Linked DNA regions of Oryzias latipes. The protein of the gene in region 3 interacts with the protein of the main gene of each other region in a pairwise test. Links are inferred from orthologs where the notes say so. Each region holds a gene or a part of one and is shown on either strand. Other genes may lie near its edges.

The links. The genes of interacting proteins can lie anywhere in the genome.
Region 1: the proteins of psme3 (region 3) and prr13 interact in binary tests that used the Homo sapiens proteins (3 or more experiments, as listed by UniProt). The two-hybrid records come from large-scale screens. The link is inferred for Oryzias latipes from reciprocal best matches to the Homo sapiens genes PSME3 and PRR13.
Region 2: the proteins of psme3 (region 3) and eaf1 interact in binary tests that used the Homo sapiens proteins (3 or more experiments, as listed by UniProt). The two-hybrid records come from large-scale screens. The link is inferred for Oryzias latipes from reciprocal best matches to the Homo sapiens genes PSME3 and EAF1.

What each region holds. Positions count from the first base shown.
Region 1 is NC_019863.2:10,423,579-10,428,118, forward strand, and holds the start of prr13 (proline-rich protein 13), read right to left. Parts: upstream 2,854-4,540; 5' UTR 2,729-2,853; intron 1,358-2,728; 5' UTR 1,305-1,357; coding exon 1,289-1,304; intron 1,211-1,288; coding exon 672-1,210; intron 1-671. UniProt on the Homo sapiens protein: Negatively regulates TSP1 expression at the level of transcription. This down-regulation was shown to reduce taxane-induced apoptosis.
Region 2 is NC_019874.2:26,172,672-26,176,958, reverse strand, and holds the start of eaf1 (ELL-associated factor 1), read left to right. Parts: upstream 1-1,434; 5' UTR 1,435-1,580; coding exon 1,581-1,683; intron 1,684-3,032; coding exon 3,033-3,127; intron 3,128-3,462; coding exon 3,463-3,599; intron 3,600-3,726; coding exon 3,727-3,899; intron 3,900-4,058; coding exon 4,059-4,280; intron 4,281-4,287. Other genes in the region: mettl6 (methyltransferase-like protein 6), read right to left, coding at 185-319, 713-985. UniProt on the Homo sapiens protein: Acts as a transcriptional transactivator of ELL and ELL2 elongation activities.
Region 3 is NC_019877.2:17,757,518-17,762,064, reverse strand, and holds the start of psme3 (proteasome activator complex subunit 3), read left to right. Parts: upstream 1-1,490; 5' UTR 1,491-1,609; coding exon 1,610-1,651; intron 1,652-2,617; coding exon 2,618-2,650; intron 2,651-2,760; coding exon 2,761-2,823; intron 2,824-2,969; coding exon 2,970-3,074; intron 3,075-3,155; coding exon 3,156-3,204; intron 3,205-3,286; coding exon 3,287-3,405; intron 3,406-3,564; coding exon 3,565-3,701; intron 3,702-3,815; coding exon 3,816-3,870; intron 3,871-4,547. UniProt on the Homo sapiens protein: Subunit of the 11S REG-gamma (also called PA28-gamma) proteasome regulator, a doughnut-shaped homoheptamer which associates with the proteasome. 11S REG-gamma activates the trypsin-like catalytic subunit of the proteasome but inhibits the chymotrypsin-like and postglutamyl-preferring (PGPH) subunits.

The DNA of each region.
Region 1 (4,540 bases), on a different chromosome or scaffold from region 3:
TATTTCAAGCACCAGTAGCTCCAACTGGTGCTTGGTTCGGGGATATTTTAGAATGTCCGTCATTATTGCTTCGCGGCTGTGTAGACGCTACTTGGCGTCTATCTTCTTCGCTGGTATGTGTGCTCAGCAAGGCAGTTTTGTGTTTGAGCGCCCCCAAGTTGTGTTTTACTGTAACTTCAGAAGCTCCAGACACGTGAGCAAAAGCGCCATTCTCATTGGTCGAGTAGATTTCGACGCGACGCGTCGAAAAAAAAAACGAACCCAAGGCGTTTTTTTTTTTTGACGCTTTAACGCGTGGCGTTTTTTCGCGTCGGTGTGCACACTCTCGTTGGTGCCCTTTGTTTAGTCACGAGGCGTTAAACGTCGGCGAAAATCGCCGGCGAAATTCGTCCCGGTGTGAACAGGCCTTAACACTGAGCGTGTAAATCCAAGCAGGGGCGCAAAGGAAAATTGACCGCGAGGGATCACCGCTCATTTAGGATTGCAGGCGTGCAGTTTTAAAATACGGAGTCGCTCGGTTAGAATTGCGCCCGCGCGGTTGTAAGGTTTGCTCACTCAGTTTCCGAATACACCCGCTCAGTTGTCTTTACGCCCTTTCACTTTATGGCAGAGATGAAGCGCCATACAAGACAAACATTAACTAGCATTCTTTCACCCAAGCACAACCTCACCTTGCCATGTTTGTGTCCATGCTTTTGTTTATGAGCCTTCTTCATCTTTTTCTTCATCTTCTTATTGGCTTTATGTCCAACCAGCCCAATTCCCATTCCTGCAACCCCACCCGCTACTACTCCACCCATTGGCATGGCTCCTCCATGATGATGCCCTTTGTGGTGCCCCCCTTTGTGGTGCCCCCCTTTTGGAGAGTGTGGGTAGTGACCTGGATGAACACCAGCATGTGGGACTCCTGGAACTCCACCTGGAGCCATGGGATACGGGTGAGCTCCAGGTGCTCCATATGGCATCATTCCTGGAGCTCCATGTGGTCCCATGGCGACATTCCCACCAGCTGGGTACTGACCAGCTGGGTACTGACCAGCTGGGTACTGACCAGCTGGGTACTGACCAGCTGGGTACTGACCAGCTGGGTACTGACCAGCTGGGTATACTGGTTGTGGAGGAAAGACTCCTGCTGGAGGCACAGGAGGATATGCAGGGTTGTAGCCAGGGGCAAAGGCTGGGTTTGGTGGAGGCACTGAATGGGGAGGACCTGATCCAAAATAAAGCATTTTGTGGCTGACATTGCATTAGGTAATACAAACATTTATAAAGAATTTTGATATCCCACCTTGATTTGGCCACATGGTTTTGGTGTAGAGCCTAATGACAAACACACATCAGGTGTCACAATAGAATCCTGACAAACAAGCAGAAAGGAAAATCAATATAAAAATATGATTAAAAAGGGCAGTAAGTCAACATTACAATCATATAAAAATTAAAACTAAAACCTAGAAGTAAATAATTTCCCATTTCAGTTTAGTTACTTTTGTTCAATCAAGTCCAACCTACCGTTAAAAACAGTTGAATATTCTATAAATTACATTTAACAACATCTTTTGAACAATAGAAACAAGTCTTGAGAAGTTCATTTTAGCTCGGTTTTTGACAAAAATTTGCAACAGAGCCAACGGCACCGCAGTTGGAGACCAAGGGAAATGCTACTTGTTGTGGAGGGACCCCCCCCCCCCCCCCCCCTCAAAACGTCACATGTGATTGCAGCATTTTGTTTTAAAACCAGAATAATTGACACACATTTGTAAATTACCTTTTAGGATGTACATGAAAGTGAGGAAGAATAGAAATGTAATAATATGAATCATATTTTAAGTATCTCATTATATATTTTCTTATTATATATGCAATAAAACTCCAAATTTTTTGATCCATTGATTCTTCACAGATTTGTGTGTGGGGATTAGATATAGTTTATATTCAGCAGGGTTTTGTTTTGTTTTCTTGACAGTTTGGTTCTCACATAAAATAGTCATCTGTAAAACAAACAAAAAACGTCAACATTTGCATCATGTGATTTTGACACACCTCAGGTCGGACACACCTCAGTGTGGAAACATGATCTGTATGTTCGAATCCAGGGAACCAACAATTTTCAACAAGAAATTCTTCATATTTTTATCTTTCAAAAACCAGTTTGTGTTAAACGTAACAGTTGGGAAATAAAGGGTAATCTACAGCTGTTGGACAAGTGAATAGTGGGAGCTCAACTGAGCAAATCTCTGAAAGCCATGATGATAAGACTGCAATCTTATATTTTACATCAATGGAAGAAATAAACACAAATAATAGAATTATTTAACCACAACACAAGATTGGTAGAATGAGATCATTAAACAAGCTTGAGAAGTTGCCCAAAAGTCTATAAAAACTGAAATCTAAACATCACTGACACACAAAACAACAAAAAGAAAGTAAAACAGCTAACATTGATGTTTAAAGTATCTTGACGCAGTTATTTGTTTATTTTAAGTCCATTTTAATACATCTATTAAATCTACACTGGACCTGCATTATTTCTCCGCCTGCCACAAAGCAGGCCTAGATGTCGCAAAACGAACCCCTCGAGGAATTTTTCTTCGGCTAAGAAATTCACGCAAAGTTCGGCCTCTTACCGAATATCCTGCATTTAAAACACGAGATATTTCCGAATTATCTACTGTCAACATCTGTCGCACTGCCTATAACAAAATGCCAGGTTCCAAAAGCTTACCTGAGTAACTTGCCTCTGCTTGTTCGACGTCACTTAGAAACCCGGAGCTTCTTGTTGTCTTCCGCGTTGAGCTCTGCAGTTAACTGAGACTGCGCCTGGAAGCCACGCCCACCTCCGATCAAGAATGCACAGTATTGTGCCCACGTTGAAAGCTCATTTAATACTTTCAATGTCACAATCACAAAAGACGGAGTTTGTCACCACAGGGTGTGTCCAAAGGAAATACGACCATAATGGAAATGATTTTATCTGAAAATGTCCATTACATCATGGATCCACTGTAATTCTTTTTATTTAAAGAAAAGTTTAACAATTAACTTTTGCTCAAGCTCATAGCAGGATTTTTTATTGAACAAAACAGTATTTACAGACGGACTTTCATAATTTTGCATCAAAATGAGTTTTATAGACCTAATAATAAAATATCGTGCTATTAATGAAATACAATAACCAAACCCCTTTTTAAATTCAGTATTAACCAAATTTTTAAATAAAACTTGTATGAAATTGTACCACTATGCCACAAATAACTGGCAGTTATTTTTTTCCATTACTGTCTGCTTTCCATTTGGTCATCAAAACACAACAATGAGTCATTGTGCCCATGATATAATAACAAGACTGTATCAGCCAAACTGAATTCACTTTTATCAGGTTTACACAATTTTCATGATCTTTTTGTTTGTTTGTTTTTTTGTTTGTTTTTATATATTTAGTAAAACAATTTGGTGAGAGACAGTTATGAAGTGAGAACTCCGAATACAATAGAATTTCTTGTGTTTCATATATTCACAGCAAAACTGATTCTTAAATAAGAAATAAACTTCTTCATGAAAAAAACAATATTATCAGTGGAGATTAAAAAAAAGTCAGCTAAATGAAAGCACCATCAAACCATATGTGATTTATCATTTAAATAAAACTTAACTCGTGAATGAATAGCAAATTAGTAAGTCAAGCTTCTTTTTCAAACCTTTTAACTTGCTCAACTTTGTTTACTCAAAGCCAAATGTCGAGCCTTCTCATATGCAAAATCACAAATAAGGACTTTGAAGTACAGCGTTCTTCCTAAATGACTTTCAAGTACTCGCCACAAACCCACCTTTTTCTTCCGCTGTTCAATCAACCCCCCCCCCACACACACACACACACACCCACACACACACACACACACTTTTTTTAAGGAAAATTTTCTCTACCTCACATTTGGGATTTATGGCTCTTTTTAGGGAGCTGAATCTTTTGAATCAGTTCACTTGGAAGGGACGTTCAAAAGATTGGCTGATTTGGCTCTTTTTATAGTTATTTGCTTTTAAGACTAGCCTGGAGTTTATTCATTTAATCCTGGAAATAATCACAGGGAGGATTGATGGGCCTAGATTTGGATCAGAATAATTCAAATTCAGATTTTCCACCAATAATTGAGTTCATATTATTTTGGAAATATCAATTATAGTTTCATTTGACATGTGTGGACAAGATGTCTGATATGGATTCATTGTAAATATTTATGGAGAGCATATACTGTGTGTATGTATACTTTGAATTATGTTATTAACACAAAAGCTAAATCAGGGGTCTGCAACCTCTAAAAGAACCATTTGGTCCAGTTTCTTACTGAAAAATAAACGAGTTAGAGCCACAAAATCTTACTACTCCTTTTATAAAAATACACTTTTATGCAGCCTGTAGTAGCTTTTTAATTTTTTACAATATTTAAACCTTAACAGAGTTATATTTTTTAAGTAGGTTTTTGATTTATTTTAATCTGACAGCACCAGATTCAAGTTCCTTTCAGAATAAAAATGTGCC
Region 2 (4,287 bases), on a different chromosome or scaffold from region 3:
AGTGACAATTTGTGTGATATTTACAAAATAAAGAAAATACTTTGGTACTCAGTTTTACATAAGTTCAAATAAAAAAACTTTCTAAAATGAAGCAATATAAAGGAGGAAAAAAGGGAAGAAAATATAGGACAAGGCTTATAAAGACATTATAATAAGAACAAAGTTGTTGTGGGAAATGCCTCACTTTTACAAACTCAACAGCTCGTGGGGAGAAGTCACAGGCGTAAACAAATATGTTGAGGTCGTCCTCCAGCAAAGGAAAGAGGCAGTTTCCCACGCCGCAGCCAGCTTCCAACAAAACCAACTTCTGGGACTCAAACTGTGAAGCAAAGCACAAGAATAACTGGACATTAGTTTAATAAGCTTGTTTGGCCATCTGACCTACAATATTTTTCAGCATCTTAAACTTTAAAGAAGCATAAATAGAGTATAGTTTAATATTTTAATATTACATTTAAGTAATTAATGTGAATATATTATTCATATTAATATATTTTAATTTATTAATTAATATATGATTTAGGGTTTTAAAAAATGGCGTAATTACTAGATAATTTAACATTTATAAATAATCTGAAGAAGAAGAAAGAAATCCCTATTTGATAGATAGAATGTTCTACATGTTAAATAGAAGATTATTTATTTTGTGAGTATAAAACAAGAAATAGAAACAGATGAAGACTGGTAAGTCCATGTATAAAAGTAATCTTACCTCACGACACTCTTTGAGTTCTTCAAATTCCCTGGTTGTCCAGTGTCTGTCTTTGAAGAAATTTGTGGCGTTTCTTTTGTAAAACAAGTCCCAGTTTTTTCGAGCTTCTTTCTCCAGTTTTATTTGTTTGAACTCAGATACAAGAACTCGCTCAGTTTTGAATCTACCCTGCTCCTCCTGGGTTAAATCTCTGGAGGAAGATGTTTTCGTTTGTCCGGACAGGCATGTTGGTGTGTCGTCCGTAGACTCGGTATCTTCGGCTCGGTTCATCATATTTCCACGCTGCTTTAAAGTTTTTGGAGATTTTTTTCCGTCTTTCTTTGTACAAAGTCATTAATTTACGACATTTTCAGTTGTTATTCCTGAACATTTATGCAGTTTATTACGTTTTCAATAAAACAATATAAAATAAAAGGTTGAATAAGCTAAATCTACAATAAAAAACCCTACTTCAATTTCAAACAATTCTTTTCATTTCCTCTGTTGTGTACGTTCACGAAATCCTTCCGATGAGTGCACGTAATTGCATTCCGCGTTGCCATCTGGCTTTTTATATAAATTGTTTATGAAACTAAAATGTACTAAAATAATTCTGTTTGATAAAAAACTAATCTAAATGCAAATTATCATTTAATAAGACAACCAAGTTTTATCACAGTTTTTGCCGCCGTCTGATCTTAGAGGTAGTTCATAGTCGAACCAAAATCAAAAGAGAGCACAGTGACGTCAGGGATGTTTTGCTAACTGTTAGCTTCTGCAGCTAGTTTTATCTTCCAGTTGGATTATCCTGTTTCTTCCCAGTTGCGACTGTTAGCTCACTTCTTATTACCAATATACGTAAATGTTAGACTTTTAGACAAACTGAACCATGAACGGTAGTACAAACCCGCTGCTGGACAAAGAGGAGCATGTTTTGAAGCTCGGAGAAAGCTTTGAGAAGAGGCCAAAATCTTCCTTTCACACCATCCGATGTGAGCGTGAGACCGCGTTGTGTTTACAAGACCTTTAAGTTCTTAACAAACTCTGGAGTGCGGCTGGTTATCTGCTGTAAATGTAGAGGCTCTCTCTCCAAGACTCTCTTCAATACTTTTCAGTCATTTGAAGATAAAAGCAGTTTGTTTTTTTGGTTGAGCTTTTACACTTTATGCTATTAACTACCCAATACTTATTTTACTACACCAAAGTTTATCTAATTTTTTGTGAGAAACAAGTTTTTTATATTTGCCTCCAACCAGGACTCATTTTTTAGCCTCCAGCTCCACATGGAGTGGCAATTGAAATTCTCCTTCAAAATAAAATGCAGATCCTATCTGTTGTAATAAACACAATCTGGATTGTTGGGGCATAAATGCTGAATAAAACAACTGGATGCAGGGACAACGGTTTATAGTCTTCATCGTGTTTCTTGTTCAGTGTGGTATTTAGAGATATCCAGTTTTTCTCAGAGGATTCGTGTTGCTTTATTGAAGTAGATGTTTGAAGTAGATGTTTCACAATATAGGATTTATTATTGATACCAAAACACTTTTATTGTGACGCCTAGGCTTGGAATTGCATTTTATTTACACTAAAAAGCTTTTCTGTTTACTTTTATTAAAAAAATTCATACTGTTATTCACTCAGGTTCAATCATATTGTTTCCATGACCAGTTATGTGAAGACAGTTTGAAAAATGTAAACAAAAATTAAAATAGAAATGCAAAAAAAAGAAACGATTCAATTGCTTTGAGTCAAAGCCTGTGTTGTATTTTGAACTTGTGTGTCAAAATAGACTTTGGCTGGACTTGGGAGAGAAACCATCCGTGTTACAGAGCTGTTGTAGTAAAAGGGTTTTATGATGCATGTGATGTCCTATTTTAAACACTGACCTCCCCGCGTCACAGTATTCCATTTACTCATTAGTTCACTTTTAGATCTCAGTAAAAGTCACCTTGGGGCATTCTCCGGAGAAAGTGGTCATGTTAAATTCAAACTTTGAATGCAATTGATTTATAGTGTTATAAAACATATTCAATTTGTTTTGTACAGAACAAAAAATTATCTGTATTAAATTAGCATTTTATCTCATTTATTATAGTTGATAGAATTACAAATGCAGCCAGGGAAAACAACCCACATTATTTTTTTCATCTTATGCTAGTATGAAATTACTGTAATTGCTTTTTTGTATTTTGGTTGTTTTTCCCTTCCAGGTAGTTATTCTCCAACTGTAATTATAATTCCATATATGTGTGAATGCCAGTTCACGGTGTTTCCCTCTAAATAAAAAAATAGGCAATCAGGGAGAACACAAATTTGACTCGATACATTTCATTTCCAGATGACTTCAAACCAGCATCGATTGACACCAGCTGTGAAGGGAAGCTACAGGTCGGAAAAGGAGATGAAGTTACAATAACGTTACCTCATATTCCAGTAAGGCTTTCCTCTTTTTAACAATCTGGTCAGAGATGCATGCACATCATGATCTGCCTGATCTCTGCTGACTCATGTTTTCTGTCACAAAAAGGTCTGACAGCTGTTTTGATCAGTCACAGTGCAGTCAAAAAATCTAAGCAATCATGTGTCTAAAAAAATTATGTTCTGAATGTATCCTAGAATTGTGACTGAAAAAGTCTGTTTATCTTCACTATAACACTGCTCTTGAACAAGATGATGTAGTTTTTTTGATTTTGATGTAACCTTCTAAAAGGGCCCTTTTCCAAGCTTTAAATACATAAAACTGCAACTACCTGTTCTTTGTCTTTCAGGGCTCCACACCTCCAATGACAGTATTTAAAGGAAACAAGCGACCGTATCAAAAGGATTGCGTGCTCATCATTAATCATGACACGGGCGAATTTGTACTGGAGAAGCTCAGCAGCAGCATCCAGGTTAAGAAAACAAGGTGGGATGTCAGTGTCCTGGTTTCCAGAGTCCTGCTGACTTTGGGTAGTAGATGTGTATTGTCTATAAGATCTTTAAATTGCTCAAGATGAGGAAAAGTTGGCTGATGTATGTATCTGTGCGAACAGAGCGGAGGGCAGCAGTAAGATCCAGGCTCGGATTGAGCAGCAGTCGGTTCGTTCCAGCCAGCCCGGCTCTCAGTTCCGAGCCCCAACCAAGCCGGGAACTGGGATCAAAACATCCCCATCCCCATCTAAGGACAACCCCTCTCCAGAGCCTCAGCTGGACGACATTAAGAGAGGTGAGGAGGTTCCTGCACTGTTGGTGTTTTACAAAGTCATGATTTCTCAGAAAAAACCCTGCTAAAGATGACAAAGAATGAAAAACATTTGGACAAATGTGAGTACAAAAAAAGACAAGACCTTGAAATATGAAATGCTGATCTTGCTGCTGTCGACAGAGCTGCGGGCAGAGGTGGAGATGATTGAACAGATGAGCAGCAGCGGCAGCAGCAGCTCCTCAGACTCAGCCAGCTCCTCGGGGAGCGGCGACGACAGCAGCAGCAGCGACGGCGAGGGCGATGCTCCCCGGCCGCTCAGCCAGAACTCCCCCAGCCGCAACCCCATGGCCAACGGAGGGATGGAGCGCCAGCAGGGCAACAACCAGCTCATGAACACACTTCGTGAGTA
Region 3 (4,547 bases):
GGTGGCAGGACGGTCTCCGGGCTCTCCCTTCAAATGTCATGTGGAAGAATGATGGTGTAAAGTGCCTGGACGTTTTTCTGGATGGTCCTGCCATGGTCAAAAAGAACTGGGAGGATGTTTTCAACAAACTGGAGGGGAAGATGCAGCTAATCAACTTCTTTTGGGACAGTCTACACTGGGCGCCACAAGGAATGTTTTTCTACCTAGGGAGAAGGGGGGACAGGGCCTAGTGCACCTGGTCAGCAGTACTGCCACCTCCAGGATCCAGGTCCTGCAAAGGTTTTTGACTGGGCCAATGAATTTGATGTGGAGGGAACTGGCTAGCTGCATATTAAAATGTGTGAGCTGTCTGAGGGTGGATGTCACTGTTTTTAATGGACACCAAGCTTTTAAATTTACGTAGGTTGCCTCCCTTTTATCAGGGTGTTTTTAAGTCTTGGCACCTTTTTAATGTTGTGAAACAAAAAAAAAAAAAAACTCTCCCTCTCTGTTTTGGCTCTTGAAGGAGCCTTTGATCTTTGGGGCGGGGTTAGACATTTGTGATGACCTGCCCGCCCCTGGACTTCAGGGTCTGGAGTTCTGACTTTGGAACAGCTAGTGACTGCAAAAGGTCACAATGCATTGCGTTTGAACAACTTCTGAAAAGCAGATGTATTTAAATGTATGTTATAAAATAAATTTTAACGTTTTCATCTTCAGAACACAGTGGATTTATAAATGGTTGTCGCAAAATGCTCATATCAATGAGATTTTCACATTGTGAAATCGATTACATCATATACGCCGTTTAAAAAAAGAGTGAGTATGGTGTCCGAATTGCTTTTAAAATCCAGGGCTCTACTTAGTCGTGCACTATATCGTTTTTTAGTAGTCAGGGATAAGGGTGGATCTGGACACAGCCACCGATTTTTGCTTCCGGAGTGGAATTCCGTCTGCTATTTATTTTTCTGCAGCTAGGTACTGGAAAATTAACAAATCTTCCACCACCACATTAATGAACTTTTTTCACCTAGACACAGGCCAATGTATTTGTTAGGTATGAAGAGATAACAGAATTACAGGGAAAATAGAACATTAGTTATTAAAGATTATCAATATCATTTTATTATAGAGGATATTCTTAACAAGTTGGTATTTTTTTATTTTTAAAAATTTCTCTATATTTTAACATATTGACGTTTTTCTCAAATTCTGGTTGCATCTCCAAAGTAAAATGAAATTGCCAATACTTGTTTTCAACAATTTGATTATACTGTTGTACGCAATGTTTGGTAATATTATATACAATACATATTTGTGCGCATAAAAGGCACAATTCCCGTTATTGTTGCTAAGACTTTTCTAAATATTTTTATATAATAATAATAACAACAACATCAACAATAATGATAATCCTGAAGTAAAAATAAAAAGATGGATTCCAAAACTTTGAAGATTTACATTTGTAAAAACGGTTTATCAATAAAGATTTTGGCGGAAAAAGTGCAACTGTCGCGTAATTACGTCATCTTTAAGCTACACAAGTGTGGCTGACAGCAAGAAGCCACACGTTTACAGGAGACTTTATTGTTGCTGGGATAAACGTCCTATCTACATTTGATCCCAGAAGATGTCTTCACTCCTCAAAGTGGACAGTGAAATTAAAACCAAGGTGATGTTTGTCTGAACGGCCCCTGCGCGTGTTATTGTGGGAATTAGCCTGCTAGCATTTTGCGGCATGTTGTGGAGTCTTTGGTTAGCTTTAGCGCTAGCTAGCAATGTCTAACCGGTATGTTTCCCGCCTGCTGCAATTTATCTGTCAAAACTTATCACAGGTGCTGCGACAGACTGGTAAAATGCTTCAAATGGGTGGAATTAAACGTCTTATTGCGTGCTTGTTATGTTTAATTGATAGTTTGAGACAGAAGACCACATGTCAGGAAGGCCTTAGCCTCCACTGTGGCTAAGCTACAACCGACCCACCGGCGTCATCATGCTACAACTTTATATCGACTCCTTGTTGCCCTGATCAGTATTTAAACTAACTTTAAAGAGCGTGTCGTTTATCAAATTTAAGCAAATGAAAAAAATGCGAACTACGGAGAGACTTATTCATTTAGAGACTCTAATAATATAATAGTTCCCTAAAGAAATAACTACAATAAGTTTAGGTTTAAAAAAAAGGTTTAGTCTGTGTTGGTGCACATGAATATAAACCTTTTATAAGTAATATTTATGGTTTATTTCTGTAGCTTTTATATGTACGTTTCTATCTATGATAGCAAGATTAAAGAAACATGTGCTTTTTAGATTATGTTAAATCTGTTTTATTTTACTGAAATATTGATTCTTTTTTCTTCTTAAAACTGCTTTGATCATATAAAAGTATGTAGTTAATCAAAAGTTGATCTTACTTGCATTCTTTAATCTTAAAAATAATAATAGTAAAATAATCTATCGTTATTTTACTGTAAATTTTATCCATAACATAATTAAACTTTGAAGAATGAAAATCGATTATGGCTGTGTTTTATTTTTTCAACTAACCTTATAGTAGAAAATAAATTCTCACTGAGAAACACATGTTCGTGGGATGTACTGATGCTGAACTTTTGTCTAAATATTTATTATTTTACAGGTTGATGCATTCAGGGAACGGATCACAGCAGAAGTGAGATTTGCATTTGGAATACTTTTTTTTCTATTTTTTTTTTATTTAAACCCCCTTTTTTAAAGAACAGTATTAGTATTAAAGTTTTTTTCTATTTGCTTCTCTCTTAGGCAGAGGATCTAGTTGCAAATTTCTTTCCAAAGAAATTACTGGAACTTGATTCTTTTCTTAAGGTATGTTTTATCCTTTGTAATCTTAGTTGTTCAGTATGAAACTTTCTTTAACTACAGTTTTGACTCTAACTACTGTTGGCACAGTAAAAAAAAAAAAAAGTGTAATCTGATTACAAAAAAAGAACAAATTTGGTTCCCCCCCCCAGGATCCAAGCATAAACATTGTTGAGCTGAAAGACATACACTCAGAGATTAACCTGACAGTACCCGACCCCATCCTAATCCCAAACCTTCACGACGGACTGGAGGCAGTGAGTTGTGGATTTTTACAGCACTTCCTTTTAACTAATTTGTGTAGAAAAACTTCTAATTTTGGGGAATCTTTTCCACAGCAAAACGCCAAAAAGAGGAAGCTTGAGGATGGGAGTGGAGAGGACAAAAGTAAGGACTGTTTTCATTTTCAAACTCATGTCAGAGTGGACTGTGTGCCTGGTAACTAACTTAACTTTCTTTTATTTCCAAGTGACCGGAACCAAAGTCTTTGTCATGCCTGGTGGAATGATGAAGAGCAATGGGAATCTTGTTGATCTCATAGAAAAGGTCAAGCCGGAGATCAGGACGCTCATAGAGAAATGTAACACAGTAAGTTGCCTTTGCATGTATTAATGTCTTAACGCTTAAATGTCTACAGGCACCTCTGCATTGGCCCTGATCTGAAGTCTTATGATAAAAAACTGGGTGAAAAAATGTTGGCAACCCACATTTTTTGTTTTTGTCTTTTCCTCTAAATTCAATCTTCAGGTCAAAATGTGGGTTCAGCTGCTCATCCCAAGGATAGAGGATGGCAACAACTTTGGAGTCTCAATTCAGGAGGAGACAGTAGCCGAACTCCGAACAGTTGAAGGAGAGGCAGCCTCTTACCTCGACCAAATATCGAGGTAAATCAAACACTTTAGAGAGCAAAATACGAACTTTGTAGCATCAGTGCTTAGTTGTTTTGGTTTTTTTGGTCATGTTTTGATTGAATATGTTCTTTTATTCTCATTTTCTAGGTACTACATAACGAGAGCAAAGCTGGTTTCAAAAATAGCAAAATATCCGCATGTGGTAAGTAAATGTCCTTCAGTAGGGATGTGGATGAAAATGGTTTGGTATTTTGTTCCTGTTGCTGTAAAAAAATGGATGCTTTTAGAAGCATTTCAAAATAGTCATTGGAAAGCTAGGGATTAATAATTAATTTCTGTAACTAGCTGTTTAAAAAAAATATTGATTTGGAAAAACACCCTTCACTAAAAACTGAACATGTTCCTGTAATTTTTTTGAGCAATTTGTTACAAGCTACTTATTAAGAATGTATCAGGAGTTTTGCACTGAAGCTCAGAGGAAGATAGGGTTATTGATAAAAAAACAAACAGATTTGCACCGCACAGATCAGTAGTTTCTAAATAACAGAAATGCATAATTGAGAAAAGTAGTGATGGAGTGAGGAAGTTCTGGTGCTCCTTTTTAACTAAATAGAAAAAAATTAAAATGCTTTTAAAAGTTACAATGAGGATATCTGGTGGCCAAACCTAGGTACTGCATTAAGTCTGAGCCACACAGAACATTTTTGATTCCATTTCCCATTAGCAACAAAATTGAACAAAACTTCCTATTGATTCATTTGTGTTTGTTAATTAGTTATCAGTTAGTTATTTGTTAGTTTGTGACTGTAAAGCGCTTTGGGCCTTCGAAGAAGGTAGAAAAGCACTATATAAGTATACGCCATTTACCATTATTTAGCT